Linked DNA regions of Bombyx mori. The protein of the gene in region 1 purifies or fractionates together with the protein of each later gene. This does not show direct contact. Links are inferred from orthologs where the notes say so. Each region holds a gene or a part of one and is shown in the gene's direction. Other genes may lie near its edges. The genes, in order: sterol regulatory element-binding protein cleavage-activating protein and sterol regulatory element-binding protein 1.

Evidence for each region.
Region 2: the proteins of sterol regulatory element-binding protein cleavage-activating protein (region 1) and sterol regulatory element-binding protein 1 purify together in Homo sapiens (affinity purification with western blotting; 4 studies listed by BioGRID and IntAct, with this or other methods). This does not show direct contact. The link is inferred for Bombyx mori from reciprocal best matches to the Homo sapiens genes SCAP and SREBF1.

What each region holds. Positions count from the first base shown.
Region 1 is NC_085107.1:13,866,941-13,870,776, reverse strand, and holds part of sterol regulatory element-binding protein cleavage-activating protein, read left to right. Parts: intron 1-712; coding exon 713-820; intron 821-1,396; exon of another isoform or gene 1,397-1,656; intron 1,657-1,725; exon of another isoform or gene 1,726-2,003; intron 2,004-2,038; coding exon 2,039-2,147; intron 2,148-3,836. UniProt on the Homo sapiens protein: Escort protein required for cholesterol as well as lipid homeostasis.
Region 2 is NC_085119.1:8,265,278-8,269,686, reverse strand, and holds the start of sterol regulatory element-binding protein 1, read left to right. Parts: upstream 1-1,302; 5' UTR 1,303-1,462; coding exon 1,463-1,526; intron 1,527-1,605; coding exon 1,606-2,238; intron 2,239-2,404; coding exon 2,405-2,691; intron 2,692-2,773; coding exon 2,774-3,004; intron 3,005-3,184; coding exon 3,185-3,377; intron 3,378-3,526; coding exon 3,527-3,714; intron 3,715-4,017; coding exon 4,018-4,205; intron 4,206-4,409.

The sequences.
Region 1 (3,836 bases):
ATCTGTTATTCCAGAACAAATTCATATTTTTATAGTAACAGCGGGTGATAATAATAATTATTTTACCTAGTTATTGATGCCTGGTATTTATTTTTGATAACACCTCATTATACAGTGAATTCAGGAAGAAAATATATTTGTCACAAGCCGATAGTTTCGTTAAACCCGCGATGCTTAAGAATCCATTTGCTTCTAAAAATCACATTGTAATGCATAGAAACGCTAGTAAGATATCGGTCATGATAATAGCTACCGTTAAAGGGTATATAGTACATACATTTTAAAGTAGGTCAATCATTTCTCAAAAACGTCTCATAGTTCTTGGTCTGTACCATATAATGATTAGACATGAGAAGACCACCATTGGCATGTTAACATAGACACAATGATAATGAAGACAATAAGATTTAAGGGAATGGAAATTCGTACGTCGTGTCTTTTCATACAGTTGTACATTCATTGTGTGGGTCAGTATTCTGAGCAGACTATCAATTTATATAACTATAAATTTAAAAGCAATTGATTATAAAAGACTTTGAAATAAAAGTTAGTCATTTTATTTAACCTGTGTGAGAATTGAGTTACGGCATTATCACATGTCTACACCCACATACTATGTCGTCTATGAGCGTCTTACCTACAGATGATTCATTACACACTAATAGATCTTAATTAAATTCATATTTTTATAGTTTGCTTCTACATTTTGCAGCACCTACTTCTCAGTTGGACCTTCTATTCAATGAAACGCAAAGACTTCCATATATTTGGGCAAAGGACAAACCGCTACTGTATGTTCAACAAATCATTTTAAAAATTGGTAAGTGCATATACATTCAATAAAGTATCTTATTCTTTTTTTATTAGACGTTCATTGAACTTTTGGGGATTCACTTTCGTCCAGAGCTTTATTTGGACTTTTAAAGTGGTCTAAAAAGTATGGTCCAAGTTATTCAATATTAGTCTTTCTTTATCTTTTAGCTTTGACAAAGTATCTCCTGTATGAACAAGAAGAGGTGTTAAGATTGCAAATATTAGCAGCATTGGTTCCTTTTTGTCTGTCGCTCGTCAATACGACTTCATGACTCAATGGGGGGTGGCGACGTGAACGGTTTTGCGTCAATCAGCTATCGCATAACGCTGTTTCGTTGGTGTCGTCTTACTAAAACTGTAGGGTATATCCAAGCTGTTTGTGTTCCCACGTGGGCTATCGTCAAACATCATATCGTTTGTGTGACGCGAATCAAACACGCATTCAATACGGATGAGACACGAATCATTGCGTGAGCTTGGGCGCTCGGCACGCAAGACACGCCGTGAATTTATCAACTCAACCAAGCCATTAGTGGGTTTAGCTAGAAATAATAAACCGTATCATTAATCAAACATGAACGAGTCGATAATTAACGTCTACATTTTATTGTTCCTTGACCTTAAAAAAGTACACCAATAATAAATACTATTATGGATCATTATAAAATATGTAAAATGAACAGACACAACAAATACTTTTTATTCACGTTGAAGAAATGTATCGTTGCTTACATTGATTTTTTTTTGACTGGTGTTGTCAGCATTTCACAATGTCATGCCTCCTTGATGTTAAGGGTATTCAAGAGTATAGACGAACTACATACTTGTAACTTCAAGGAACGTCTGAAATGTGTTCAAGGAATGTCTTAGAATGATATTCGAAGTGTTAGGTTATGATATGTTTCAACTTACTGTTTATTTTGTCCCAATCGTTTGACAAATAAAACTGATTTGATAATTTTGAGGTCGGAATCGAGGGCACATACTCGTAATAGTTTTAAGACGCAAAGTCTTCTATGGTCGTAAATACAATTCACATTGCATACTTTTGGTTTTAGTATGCCAAAAATCATAATAGTGTTATACTCGTATATTTACATAAACATACATCGTCATGTTTGGTTAGTTTTACGCCCAAAAAACAATAAATATAATTTTGATTGATTATAGTTATTTTATTACATTGACGTATTAAAAAAAAACAAATTGCGTTCTGATATTCCAGGCGTATCACCATGGAATTCGAATTTGAAAATGTGGGACGCGTTCCGGGCTCCAATCCAAGAAGTGTTCCGGTTGTTAGAAACCATCAGAAATCACGAAGATCCAGATTTGTGAGTCATCAGTTTCGTGTTACGTCAATCATGTTTCATGTAAATTTTGTCAAATCCGGCACCCTATGTGGGTTGATCTTTGATTTGACTTTGATTCAATCGGTACCAAACAGGTTAGCCAGCCAAGGCAATCAGAATATTTAAAAAAATAATAATCAAGATCTTGCTAGTTGTTTTGGAGTTTGTATGTAACATACACACCCACGTCAACTTTATATACATAGTTAAACAATATTCTACAATTTTCTTTCTGGTCGTTTTTCTAATTGTACGTTCGAATCTGAACAACAACAAAACGTAACTCTCGTACATCTTTTAAAGTTTAAATAGTTGTTTGTAATGTCCTTAAATACCTCTTCAAACGAGGCTTTTAGAGAGTACTTAACGGTAGGCAGCGGGTTGGCTGTGCCCCTGGCATTGCTGGCGGCGGTAACTACTCATCACTAGGTGGGCAGTACGCTCGTCCAAAAAAAAATGTAAATTAAAAAAAAACTTTAAGGCACTAACAAGTTTTTTTATTGCTTTGATGGGTGGACGAGCTCACAGCCCACCTGGTCTTAAGTGGTTACTGAAGCCCATAGACATCTACAACGTAAATGCGCCCCCCACCTTGAGATATAACTTCTAAGGTCTTAGTATAGTTACAACGGCTGCCCCACCCTTCAAACCAAATCGCATTACTGCTTCACGGCAGAAATAAGAGGTCCCACCACTAATAAAATGTTGAATGTTAATCATATGTTTCCACTAACCCCTACTCATGTGAGTATATATCGGTTATAGACCTAAAAATTTTAAACTTATTCTACTTTAAAGTGTTCCCAACTAATTCCTAGGTACCTACCGTACTAATCAGCTGTTTCTATAATGCAAATACTAACAAATTTGATATTAAATTCAAATAAAGAACGTTTTGTTAGCATTCATACTAATTATCTACAGAACGGCGTGATGACATTGAGCTGTAATTAAAATCCAAATATTTGATTTTTTATTTTACATCGACGTGACATCACACTGATTTAGAATAATAGCAGTCGCCACGTTCTCCGACTTTTCACTGTTATAATATTATTATAAGACTCGAACAGGAATGTACAGAATTATATTATTATATTCTATACATTGAAAAAAAAAATGTTACATTTAGGTGTAATATAATACCCGATTCAAACATTATGTAATGTTTATGTAATGTAATATAATACCCAATAAAACATTTTCCTCTGTCTTTTTTTATTGAGCAGCGCAATATCTACTAGACTGATTTAAATAAATATTTATCTATAACATCTTATTAAATCTTATTAAATTATACTAGTGGTCTCTTTGTAGTCGAAATTCCATTATAATTAATTGAAATTATACGTTTGGACATTATTATGGTTCTATTGTCAAATACTATACTTCTATAATCACAGATTTAGCCAAGACCACACTATAGACAAATAATATTAAAGACAAACAATATTAATCTATTCTCAATTTGACCACAGACTAAAAGTTTGACAATAAACACGTATATATGCGTGCGTGTTAAATACATGGTAGTGTGTGTTATGTTTTTTTATTGATTTAATATATGTTTAATGCATAATATAAAATAATATAGCATTCTGCTCTCCTTCTCTATATTCTCTATAAGTGTGGAAAAATTCACACTCCTCCGTCCGCGCAATTTTCAAAAAG
Region 2 (4,409 bases), on another chromosome or scaffold:
TAACATAGGTAACGAATAGCAGTGAGAGTACTGAACAGTGCTCGCAGTGTAAATCGGAGCATAGCCTTCACTGCAATCCAGCACACTTCACTCAGTTTAAAACTTCTATATTCATACTATTTCCCCTTGCTACACTAGCGCTAATTCGGTGAGTTTTCGAACTATAATTTGCTGTTTACAGATAGACACTTTTTCAACATGTCCCTTAAACAAGATGGTGCTCCTTACCTCTACCCTCCATATGTCCCACAAATGTGGGATAATGTGAAATTGCCACACTAAAAAAAAGCAGAACAAATAACAACAATTACCTACTTCAAAATGTGTACCGTACTTAAGTAGGTACTGTAAATAACACTTTTGAGGAAATGTTCTAAGGCACTTATTTTACCGGAAGCAAACAGTACGGTACCGTATGTAAAGAAATTTAATGGACCTACAGTTTCAGACATTTGTTAAAGTAGTAGTAATTCTATTTTTCCAACTGGAAAGGCAAAGGTATGCTGCCATACTGCCTAATCTTTTGTAATTTTTTTATATAAGAAATGAAATGAAATTATGTGATGAGATGATATGGGATGAAACATACTCTTAGTAAAATGGTGGTTATTTACTGAGATTTTATCAGTAAATAGCCACTGGAGTGCTTCCAGTGGATTTTTTGGAGGATCCCGAGAAGCTACGTTCATCGGCTTTGTTTCATTTTGACACATCTCTGCACTTTCACAGATACTAAACAGTTAATAAACTACCGTTATTAAACATTTAAACCCAAAGAAACATTAAATATACAAAATAAAACAACTCAGACAACTTCGCTCCTTGCGTTCCCGCCAAAAATTTCATTTGATAAACTCTTTTGTCTACATAATGAATTCATTACTAGCCCGTCGTAACGGGCTCCAGTAATGAATTCAAACTGAATTACTGTTAAATAATCGAGCTATTTATAGCTAAAGATTACACTGCTTAAAACAGAATATCATTCTGTTGTAGTATACAATAGCTCGGAACATTCCCAAAAACTTGTTACTCACAAGCATACATCATACCATTTTATATTTGCTCATATCACTTTCACATCCTAGGACAATATCAACATTTATAAGAATGTATGTAATTTTAGTTTGGGCGATAATGGTAAATGCGTGCCACACTTGCAATTTTCATTGCATCTCTCTCTTACGCCAATGCTTATATTAGTTTGTGTGGTTTCTGGTGAAAATTTGGAGATAATCTATCTGCCAATGTGCGGCATACTCTGGGCCGGTGCGAATGTAAAATATGCACCCAGTCTAAAACTGTGACGTAAAATCGGACCACAGGATAGCTCTCACCGATTGGTCGATGGAGAATCATCAGATAAACGTCAAAATAATGCCAAAATTTGTAAATAAGAATAATTTCCAAAAACACCTAATTAAATTCTTGTTATGGTTTTATGGTTTAAGAATTGTTAAAAATGGATATTGATCCTTTTATGAATGCGGACGTTTTCAATGTCCACGACATTGCAGAAATTGAAGGCAAGTGTAATTGCTTATGACTATTGCGAAGTGTGAACACGATAAGCAATACATATATCAATTTAATGTTATTTTACAGATTTTTTAAATAATTGCGATGGGGATTTTATGACAAAATTAGAACAGGAACTTACTTTTGTGGACAATACAAATGAAACAGGGCTGTTGGACATTGATACGAAATGCAAGCCTGAAATTTCATCATCTCCACAAGTTTCGCCGAATTATAATCATACCGGGAATCCAGTGATGTCACAGCACACGCATAGAATTAGGCCAACGCCCCCGATCAGTAAAACAATACAAGGTGGATATATTAAAGAAGAGAAATTCAATTTGCCAACATCCCTTGAGAATGCGTCCGTGACGTTTCCTGAAGTTATACCACAACAGAGGACTCAAGTTCAAAATCAGCCGATGATTTTTCAACAAGTAGTACAGAGCCCCGTGTTTGTTAATTTGGGTCCGGCTGGAAATATCCAACCTATGCCTGACAAAAGGTCAAATGTCATTCAAGTTGATAATGTTCCACAAGTAAATAAAACTAGCCCCCTAAAACAGCAGAGTCAACCTCTACTGATACAAAACAATCCCAAAGGTGTACCTTTTATATTAAAAAGTTCTGATTCTAATTTCTCACCAGTGTTATTGCAGTCGAATATCATTAACCCAAAGACACAAACGTTGATGTATACCAGTACTCCATTACAGGGTAAGTACAGATTGTGGTAAATTCTTTTTTATTCTGATGTTATGATAATGATAGTCAAGTTTAAATGGTTCTTTTTCTCAATCTTGCTAATATATCCAGTACTGGTTTACCATTGCACATTATTCAAAAAATGTAGTCAACAATATACAGTAATTGTTCTTTCCAGTTTCGAGCACAAACCAAAATATTATTACAAATGCAAAGGCAGGATCGGAGACAACACCCATACACACATTTTTTACAAACAGTAACGGTACTACTTTATTGACGGGAATACCTGCAGTTGTACTAGAAGGTGATAAAATTGCTTTAAACCCTGCACCAAACATTGGACCTCCAAAAGTGAAAGAAGTGAAACGCAGTGCTCACAATGCCATTGAAAGACGTTACAGAACTAGTATTAATGATAGAATAGTGGAATTGAAGAATATGCTTGTTGGTGAAGAGGCCAAGGTAACCAGTAATACTTATTTTTAATAACAATTAGTTTGAAAAGTTGAATTTCTTGTTTAATTTCCTCATATCCTGTTTACAGTTGAACAAGTCAGCAATATTGCGTAAAACAATTGAGTACATTAAGTATTTGCGAAGTCAGAACACTAGGTTAAAACAAGAAAATATAGCTCTTAAACAGGTTTGTCAAAAGTCTGGAGTTAAAGAGCCAATATTTGAAGGAGGTTATACTCCACCACACAGTGATGTGTCATCACCTTATCATTCTCCACATTCAATTGACAGCGACACACCTTCTTCACCAGAATACAAGGTAATTTTTTAATATAGTATATTACTACTTAGCATAATATTCCAATTGGAATATCCTCTGAAGTATAATTTTTGTGTAAGATTTTTTTTCATCTAAATTGTTTACATATCTGAATTTGTTATTAAAAGAAGATATTTTGTTTATTAAAGAAAATTCATATTTAATTTTATGAATTTGCAGACTGAAGATAAATACTCAAAGATAGTAATGGGTATGGGTGATCATTCACGACTGGCGTTATGTGCCTTCATGGTTGGGCTTATTGCTTTCAACCCATTTAGCACATTCTTTAGCAGTTTTACAACAGAGTATACAACTACAGATTTCAATGCAAGAATTGATCAAAGAAAAATTCTATCAGAAGATGATTCAAGTTTGTTTTCATTTAATATTTTATGTGTATCTTATTATGAAAATCAGTTTTAAAGAAATAAGCTTGATACAAAAAAGCGTAGTTTTTGAAATATTGGTTTAGGAACAAAAAAAATTGCAACTATAAAAATATATTAAACTTTTTTTCAGGTTATGAAGGATCATCTTGGGCGATTTGCGTTTTTAATACATTCTTTATATATCTTGTTAACTTTGTAATACTCGGAGGCTGTTTGGTAAAGTTACTAGTTTATGGAGATTCTGTACCAAAAAGTCAGTCCAAGGAAGCTGGTTTATTCTACAAACATAAAAGGCTTGCTGGCAACCATCTTAAAAAGGTAAGTGAATCATAATTTAATTATACCTGAACAATGCATTTCATTGCTGCTTTGCAAATAAATAATAAATAAATAGTTAATTCTCGATCCAATTTATATCTGAAGTTCATACTTTCATACAATGAAAATAAATATGTATTCGTTAAGGAATACAGCTACTAATACATTGTTCTGTTTGGAATATAGTACAGTACAGTGTCCGTATCCTTTCGTCCCTTTTAGCATTATGTAGACAGGGCATTTTTACTAAATCTAGATTAAGAATAAAATAATTTGTAAAACATGTATAAACTTTATTTTCAGGGCGATCTAAATAATACGCGACTAGAACTCCATCGAGCATTGGAAGCATGTGGAAGAAGTGTCCAGGCAGGTGGCCCAGGTCAAGCTAAGTACACGGCCCTCACAGCGGCTGTGCTTCGGCAGTTGCTGCAGAGATTACCGTTCGGTGGCTTCCTTGCACGACGCGCCGGAGATCTGTGGAGGGACAGGTGAAAAGAAAAATTTCAGCAAATCTATATCTATACTAATATTATAAAGAGGAAAGATTTGTTTGTTTGTTTGTATTGAATAGGCTCCGAAACTACTGAACCGATTTGAAAAATTCTTTCACTGTTTGAAAGCTACACTATTCCCGAGTGATGGAGGCTATAAACTTTTATGAAAAAATTAGGGATCCTTACTAAAACTCCAAT